Cricetulus griseus: one gene and its partner. The protein of the gene in region 2 binds, or shares a complex with, the protein of the main gene of each other region. Links are inferred from orthologs where the notes say so. Each region holds a gene or a part of one and is shown on either strand. Other genes may lie near its edges.

Evidence for each region.
Region 1: the proteins of Nup107 (region 2) and Nup133 are in contact, whole or in part, in a crystal structure (PDB 3CQG), measured with the Homo sapiens proteins. The link is inferred for Cricetulus griseus from reciprocal best matches to the Homo sapiens genes NUP107 and NUP133. Residues at the interface, in NP_065134.1 of Homo sapiens: Leu875, Gln876, Ala878, Asp879, Val881, Ser882, Ser883, Glu884, Tyr889, Lys894, Leu897, Arg898, Leu900, Leu901, Gln902, Arg905, Ser908, Leu909, Leu912, Asp917, Pro918, Leu919, Tyr921; in NP_060700.2 of Homo sapiens: Trp937, Leu938, Ile941, Asn942, Gln944, Leu946, Tyr963, Ala965, Lys966, Lys968, Thr969, Leu970, Gly972, Leu973, Lys975, Leu976, Ala977, Leu979, Ala980, Ser981, Asp982, Ile992, Glu999.

Annotation. Positions count from the first base shown.
Region 1 is NC_048596.1:200,585,848-200,589,366, forward strand, and holds part of Nup133 (nuclear pore complex protein Nup133), read right to left. Parts: intron 2,335-3,519; coding exon 2,254-2,334; intron 314-2,253; coding exon 249-313; intron 1-248. UniProt on the Homo sapiens protein: Involved in poly(A)+ RNA transport. Involved in nephrogenesis.
Region 2 is NW_023276806.1:138,571,306-138,575,396, reverse strand, and holds the start of Nup107 (nuclear pore complex protein Nup107), read right to left. Parts: upstream 2,806-4,091; 5' UTR 2,659-2,805; coding exon 2,651-2,658; intron 1,860-2,650; coding exon 1,768-1,859; intron 1,353-1,767; coding exon 1,266-1,352; coding exon of another isoform or gene 1,241-1,265; intron 282-1,240; coding exon 148-281; intron 1-147. UniProt on the Homo sapiens protein: Plays a role in the nuclear pore complex (NPC) assembly and/or maintenance. Required for the assembly of peripheral proteins into the NPC. May anchor NUP62 to the NPC. Involved in nephrogenesis.

The sequences.
Region 1 (3,519 bases), on a different chromosome or scaffold from region 2:
CTAAATCTTTAAAGAGGCAGAGGCTGTCAGATCTCTGAGGCCAGCCTGGTCTACAGATCCAGTTCCAGGTCAGCCAGGGTTTCAGAGGAAAACCCTACTTCAAAAACCAGAACAAAATAGTGAGATCACCACTATGCTCAGAGCATGCTGAAATACCCAGAAGCACATAGGCCCATCTTGTGCACCAAGTTACAGTTCTGATGGAAGCAGTTCCTGCCTATGGACCTGGCGCCCCAGCAAGGACTTACTCATCTCTCTGCAGAGCTCTGCACAGGATCTCCAGCTTCAGGTCATCAATGCTCACATCTTCCTCCTTCACAGCAAAACAGAACAACCTGATTAAAGCTAAGTTTTAAAAATAAAATGTACATTAAAACTTTAATTATACTAACCTCTAATTAACACTGTTGTTCTGCATTAATTCATAACCACCACCACCCACTATCTATAAAATTTATTTTGTACATATATGAATATTTTGCTTGCATATATGTAATTATACTGCATTTGGGCATGATGCCCAAGGAGGCCAGAAAAGGGCACAGGATCTTTTGGAACTGGAGTTACAGATGGTTGTGAGTTGCCATGTGGGTACTAGAACAAGCTTGGGTTCTCTACAAAAGCAGCAAGTGTTCTTAACTACCGAGACATCTCTCCCAGACCCCTTTCCCCTCTTTCTTTAAAGTGTTAGGATTGCTGATATCTGTGTTGATTTCAGATCACTCTGAGTTCATCAGGAACTCTAAGAAGTTAAGATTATTAAAGTGGTTATGCAGGGGGAAAATCCTAGTGTTTGCCTTGCAAATATGAGGATCTGACCCTGAAACCCATGTAAAAACATTGAGTGTGGTGGTACACACTTGTATTTCCAGCAGGGGGGAGGGAGAGAAAGGAGGATCCCTAGGTCCCACTGGCTAGTGTAATCTAATTGATGAACTCCAGGCCAACAAATGACCTTGTCCCAAAGGATGTGGATGGTGCTCCGGAGGATGATACTGACCTCCGGAGCGCTGTCCTGACCTCCACAGGACACAAACGTATACATGCATACATAAACATGAATGCATATAGAACAAAGGAAAAAAAACCAAACAAATGGTTGTATAGTCAGGTATGGTGGTATACATACCTGTGAGTTCAGCAGCTGGGAGGCTGAAGTAAGGATTTCAGTCATACCAATATCCTGTCTCAAAGCCCCCCATCCCCCACCCCACCCCCATCCCAAAACAGGCCAAAGGGATGGCATAGCAATTAGCAGCACTTTCTGCTCTTACAGAAGAACTGGATTTGGTTTCTGGCATCCAGATAGCAGGTCACAACTGTCTGTAAATTAAGTTTCAGGGAATCTGACATGTTCTTCTGGCCTCTGCAGGCAATGCACACACATGATGCATTTAAATGCATGCAGGCAGTTATACAGATTTAAAAAAAAAAAAAAAGGCCATCCTGGCCTACAGAGCTAGTTCCAGGATAGCTAGGGCTGTTATGTGGGGAAACCCTGTGGGGGTGGGGAGAAGGGGGAGTCCACAACAAAAAAAGGTGTGAAAAAAAGTTAACATTATGACTCCAAAGGCTACCAAACAACTTCTGATCACACAACCAAGAAGCAGAACCACTGATCTTACTGCACTTGCTTTCCAACCTTTGAAAGCTGAAGGGCAGCTTCTATTAGGAGGCTATAGAAGAATACCTTAAGACTTTAAAAAGCTCATTTAAAAAAATTTCTGGGACCAGTGCTCAGCAGGTATGGGCATTGCCAAAAAGTCAAATGACCTAAATTTGTTCCTGGGAACCCACCTGTCAAGGAGGAGAAAACCAACTCTGGCAAGCTGTCCTCCACCCACAAACACATACATACCCATCCCCAATCCCCCCCTCTCCCCCTGCAAAGAAAAAAAGCCAACTGGAAATAGGAGAGGGTTCTCTAGAACTGGCAATTCCTATCAGCTCTTCTAACAGTCTGGATGGCTGTCTGTCTTCAAAGAGCCACAGGGAAGCAACCTTAGGCTCTTAACCAAAACTAAATCTTTTCATGAGGGCATTTTATGATTGACCAAAAGAAGCTCTTTTCCTCCTTTTCCTTTCTTCCTTCCTTTTTTTTTTTCGTGTCAAGACAGGGTTTCTCTGTGTAGCCGTGGCTATCCTAGAACCAGGCTAGCCTTGAACTCACAGAGATCTGCCTGCCTCTGCCTCCTGAGTGCTGGGATTAAAGGTGTGTATCAGTATGCCCAGCTATATAGAGTGATTTCTTACCTCATCAATATATTCCAACAAGTCCAAGGCTTTCTTAAAATCATATTCATTGGCTCGTCTGTTTTCCTCACAGATGTACAGCTGCAACAAGATCCAAGGTAGACAATTACCCAGGAAAGTTTATGAAGAAAGTAAGTCATTGATTTCTTTTATATAATCTACACATATTTTTATAGCCAAGAACAATGACACATTTGGGAGCTATATTCTGGCTATAGAAAGTTGCCTAATAATGCATATTCTTTTTTCCTGGAACTCACTCTGTAGACCAGGCTGGCCTTGAACTCAGAGAGATCTGCTTGCCTCTGCCTCTAGAGTGCTAGGATTAAAGGTATGTGCCACCACCATCTGGCTAACAGTACATATTCTACACCAGAAATTAATTTATATAATGAGATATAAATTCTTTTTTAAAATGCCAGACTACTTACAATCTTAGATTAAGAATATACTACAGACTTTTCCTCATGCTTTCATGTACAATCTTTGACATAAATTCCTGCTCTTGGGCTCATAGGGTCACGCAGTGCATGGCTTTTGGAATGCTACTCCTTTTTAAAAACTACAACCTAGCATACAACTGGGCTTAGTGGTGAGTACCTGCTTAGCATATGAGGCCCTGGGTTCCATTGTTCAACACTGTAAAAGAAGTAAACCAACACTTCCTGTGTGATTCAGTTTCCCTGGTGAGTTAGATGCCAGATAACTTATACATGTTCCTCAAAATCCTGCCATCTTTTAATAAAAAACTTTTTGATTAAAATTATTAATACGAATTTTTAAATATTTTCCTCTTCTAACAATTATATGTAATAGGACAATTTCATTTTTAAAAACTGTATATAATTCTCTAACAACATGAAAAATCTTTTATACATAACCTATATCTTAGTTTTCACTGTCACACAGGCTCAATCCAAATACTTTGCAAAATTACTTTGCTTTCACCTTTGAAACTGATGACTATCATTGAAATGGATGTTATGTCTGAGTAAGACTGGTACCACACTTACCTGCTTAGTGACACATAAAATAATAGTACTTACAGCCTACATTTCAGATCTCTCCAGTAAATGCTCTCTTAGAAGAGAGCACCACTCAGAAGCTCTGTTGCCAACAGTGTCCTACACTCAAGATTCTGGACTGCTTGCTTTCCTTTAACTACAGTTAGAGCAGAGGAGGAGGAGGAGGAGGAGGAGGTGGAGGAGGAAGAGGAGGAGGAGGAGGAGAAAGAGGAGGAAGGTAGTATGCATACAACACCAGCTG
Region 2 (4,091 bases):
ACCAGGCTGGCCTTGAACTCACAGAGATTCACCTGTCTCTGCCTCCCGAGTGCTGGGAGCTGGGATTAAAGGCGTGCGCCACCAACGCCCGGCGCATTAAAAGGCTTTTAAGCCAAATACTTAAGTGCATTATTTATTTCTACATACCATGGATAGATTTCCCAAGAACCCAGAAGACTGTGTGTGCCGGGGAGACTTCCCTTCCGTTCCGAGAATGCAGGAAATATCTGGGTGTCTTAGTAAGCTTCGGCTTGGTGGGGTAACAAGTGAAAGGCCAGGAACTGTAAACACAGAGCAAGTAGACCAGCAACAAATATATTTTCCCGGGTATGGGGGAGATGACTCCACCAGTACAGTGCTTGTGGTACAAGTGTGAGGACCTGAGTTTGATCCCTAGCATCTAGTAAGACACTCTGGAACAGAGGTGCACACTTGTAATCCTAGTGCCAGGGAGAGGACACAGGAGACCCTGAGAGTCTAGACTAATCAGAAAGCCCTAGGTCCTAATGGGAAACTGTCTTAAAGGCTCCCAAGGACTAACACCCAAGGTTCACCTGGAGACACGTGTGCACACATATGTGCATGTACACACACACAGGCACACGCACACTCCTCCAGACACTCATCAGGAACATGTATATATTCATGCATCTACATACACATGAACATGAAACACCCACACTTACATATGAAAGAACAATTTCTCAATTTTCAATTATTTAGATTCAGATCAAACACTTTAAAATGTTTATGTTATGGAAGAATTAGCTTATTTTTCTAAAGTTGAGCTTATCATACTACTACTAAATTTTTTTTACTATAAAAGATACTTTCAATATAAATGTTAACTGCACAGACTTAAAATTAAAACAACCAAGGTGGCACCAGTCAGCAGATCCTTCATTGTCTGATTTCAGAGAGCACAATGAGGCATACAGTGAGTGTAGTGGGCCTGGACTTTAAAGCAAACCAGACTGTTATTTGAACTCTGTTTTCAATGTCTAAATAACAGCACCCACTCACTCCCACTGGCTCCTCCAAGTCCACCTTCTAGTTTGGAGAACTAACAGTATGTCACCATTACTATGTATTAATATAAAGTACAGTCCTTATTCATAAGAGTTCAGATAACTATAACCATTATTATCTATGCTTAGTTCCTGATACTGTTGCCACATATTTCATTATGCAAATTATATAAATGTTAGCTGATATTATGACTACTACTCTATTAAATACTTTAAAAGCAGAAACAAAAATCTTACAAGGCTGTCGAAATGAGCTCGGAGTTCGAAGAATAATTTGGCTTCTTGGTGTAGTATTACCAAAATTTTCATCTTGGTTGGCCTGAACTTTGGGAAGAATTAAGGAAAGCTTTCCATGTTGAGAAAAAAAAATTACTAACGATAACAATAGATTTACTACACAAGATGCATGAATACATTTTTGTCAAGAACAAAGCATTTTACAGCTACCACGTTTCCTGTGTACATAGTAGTTAATTCCTTCGGTCAATTAAACTCTCAGATCAGAGTTAGATAATATGTACTGACTACTAGTTAGCACCATGACATACTAGTAGGGAACCAGAGAAACAGAAATCTTAACCTCACTGAAGTTCATCCAGAGTGTGTATCCAAGTAAAATACCCATGGAGGTAATAAGCCAATTTTTACCACAGTTAATGTCTAATGACTCAAAGAAAATCCTGCAACATTGATTCAAAGCATTCTGCAATTTGTGTAATTCTTAAAACACAAAGGATACTTAAAACTCTTTTTTGAGCACTTTGCTTCCTTGCAGTCCTTGTCACTTCTGCCTCCCGGATCACAGGGGATGGCATCTCCACAAAGCCACTCCTAAAATAGTGTAATTAAGCTTTTGGGCAGCATTTACGAAAACAACTTTATCACTGCAGTTAGAGCAAAGGACCCTGAGTCAGTCAAAGGACAGGTCACTCCAACAGCCAAACCTTAAACCTTTCTACCAGGAGTACCAGCTAGCAAGTTACCTTTGACAGGTTTCCCTGACACACCTGTGACGGGGAATTTAACGTCCCCTCTGTTTATTTTCCCGCAGAACAGTATAACACAGTATTACCCTGCTTGGCTCTCTTCACTACACAATCGGTTCCTCGATGCCAAGCGACTGGAATAACCAACCCATCCTTGTCCCAGGCGAGCATAATCACCAGATTACATGAGAAAAATCAGCTACCTGGTGCTGGCTCTTCAAGTTAAGCTGATCACAGTGTACTAACGTACAACTGAAATGTATTAATAGCCACGATAAAGCCACTTTGCAAAGTACTGAGATGTCAAGTATTGCTCACCGGCAGTGACCTCGGACTGCCTGCTCACTTTAGCATTTCGAATGCCGGGCCGCCACTACCTACCTACCCCGCCCACTTCGGGGCGAACGGCGGCGAGAGAGCGCCCAACAGACCCCGGAGCCGGGGCGTGGAACGCGGGGATCTGCATCCTCTGCATCCTGGCTGCCCCCATACCAAGTGGCCTTTCCTCCAACAAATCCCAGGTAGGGAGAAGGAAGGAGTGAACGTACAACCCTCGGCTCCTCCTCCGCTTTCACCACGTCGTCCCGCCAACCGGCGAGAGCCACAAGTCTTGGCCCAGCCGTCCCCAGGACTCACCTGTCCATGGCTGCGGCCTCCGCCAGCTAGAACCTCGCAAATCTGCCCGCAATGCCGCCACCGCGTTTCAGCCTTCCCGCTCTCCGGAAGTAAACCCTTCGACCCGGAAGCATGCCCCTGATTCAGCCAGCCCCTGCGAAAAGTACTGGGAACGGAGAAAGTGTTCCTACTTGGCGCATGCGCAGTTATCGTCGACCGAGTAGGCGCAGGCGCCAAAGTGTGCCAGGGCGTGCCTGCGTGACTGGGCGGTGCCAGCTAGGCTGGGAGGGGGCGGGAAGGGGCGGGGCTTGGCGCGGAGCCCCGAGCGGCCTTTGTGGGCGTGGTCTGGGTGGGGCGTCCTGCTGAGAAGCCAGAAGTGGCTAAACTGGGGTTCCGATGGAGTCCGCCTTGGCGTTCCTCCTTGGCATCCCGCAACACTCCACAGACACGGGCCTGTCTCGGGCGCTTGTGGTGTAGCCTCAGTGGGCGGGTTAGTTGTTTTCTATCATTGTTATTTATTTTCCCTTTACAGATTCAGCCGTCTTTTTAAAAATTAAAAGCAGTGCATAAATGCCACATGGGCTCACTCCTGTAATACCAACATTTGGGAGGCTGAGGCAGGAGGATCACCATGAGTTTGAAGCCAGGCTGGACTAAGAATAAGATCCTAACCAAATATATATATATATATATATATATATATATATATATATAATATTTTTCAAAAGTTTTAAGCATGGAGAGACTTAACCTGTTCCAGCATCTCAGAGTGTTAGGTCTCAGGCCCTCCACATGAGCTCAACCTGAACCATAGGATTTCTGGCTGTTAGATAAAAGCCAGCATCCCTCTGGAACTTGAGGTTTTCCATCCTCAAATGGGGTCCTCCTTGATAGCTATTTGTCCTCCTTCCAACCCCCACCCCCAAATAATTTCTATTCTTTGCTGTCCTGTCATTAAACTCTATCTTTGGCTATCTTGACTACCCCATCTTCCCTAGGCCTGTCCATAGTCTGTTTCTCTTTCTCTCTGCTCTGGACTCTTCCAGTTTTGCCTCTGGATCATTTCTCTTCCTTACCCATAACAAAATGTTACCCCTAATGGAATGGTCATGTTTACTTTCTTTACTGTTCTTGCCCACTGGACCATATCTGACCCCTTTAACTTACAGACATCAACATCAAAATGCACCCTAAAATATTTAAATGATACACATTTGATTACTTTAAATTTCTGTGAAATAAACTCCTGTATGGGTGTATATTGTATACATACTAGCTTTTTGTTTAGGGTGCTTGGCCACCATGACAGAAATGTCTAACTTAAGCAAAAAAAAAAAAAAGTACTGGAAGGGTATCAAGAGCTCATGGAATAGTTAAAAAGCAAACAAACAAAAAGCAAACAAACAAACAAAAAACCATAGAAAAGGTTTGGGGAAACACAGCTCCTCTGGAAGCAAAAACC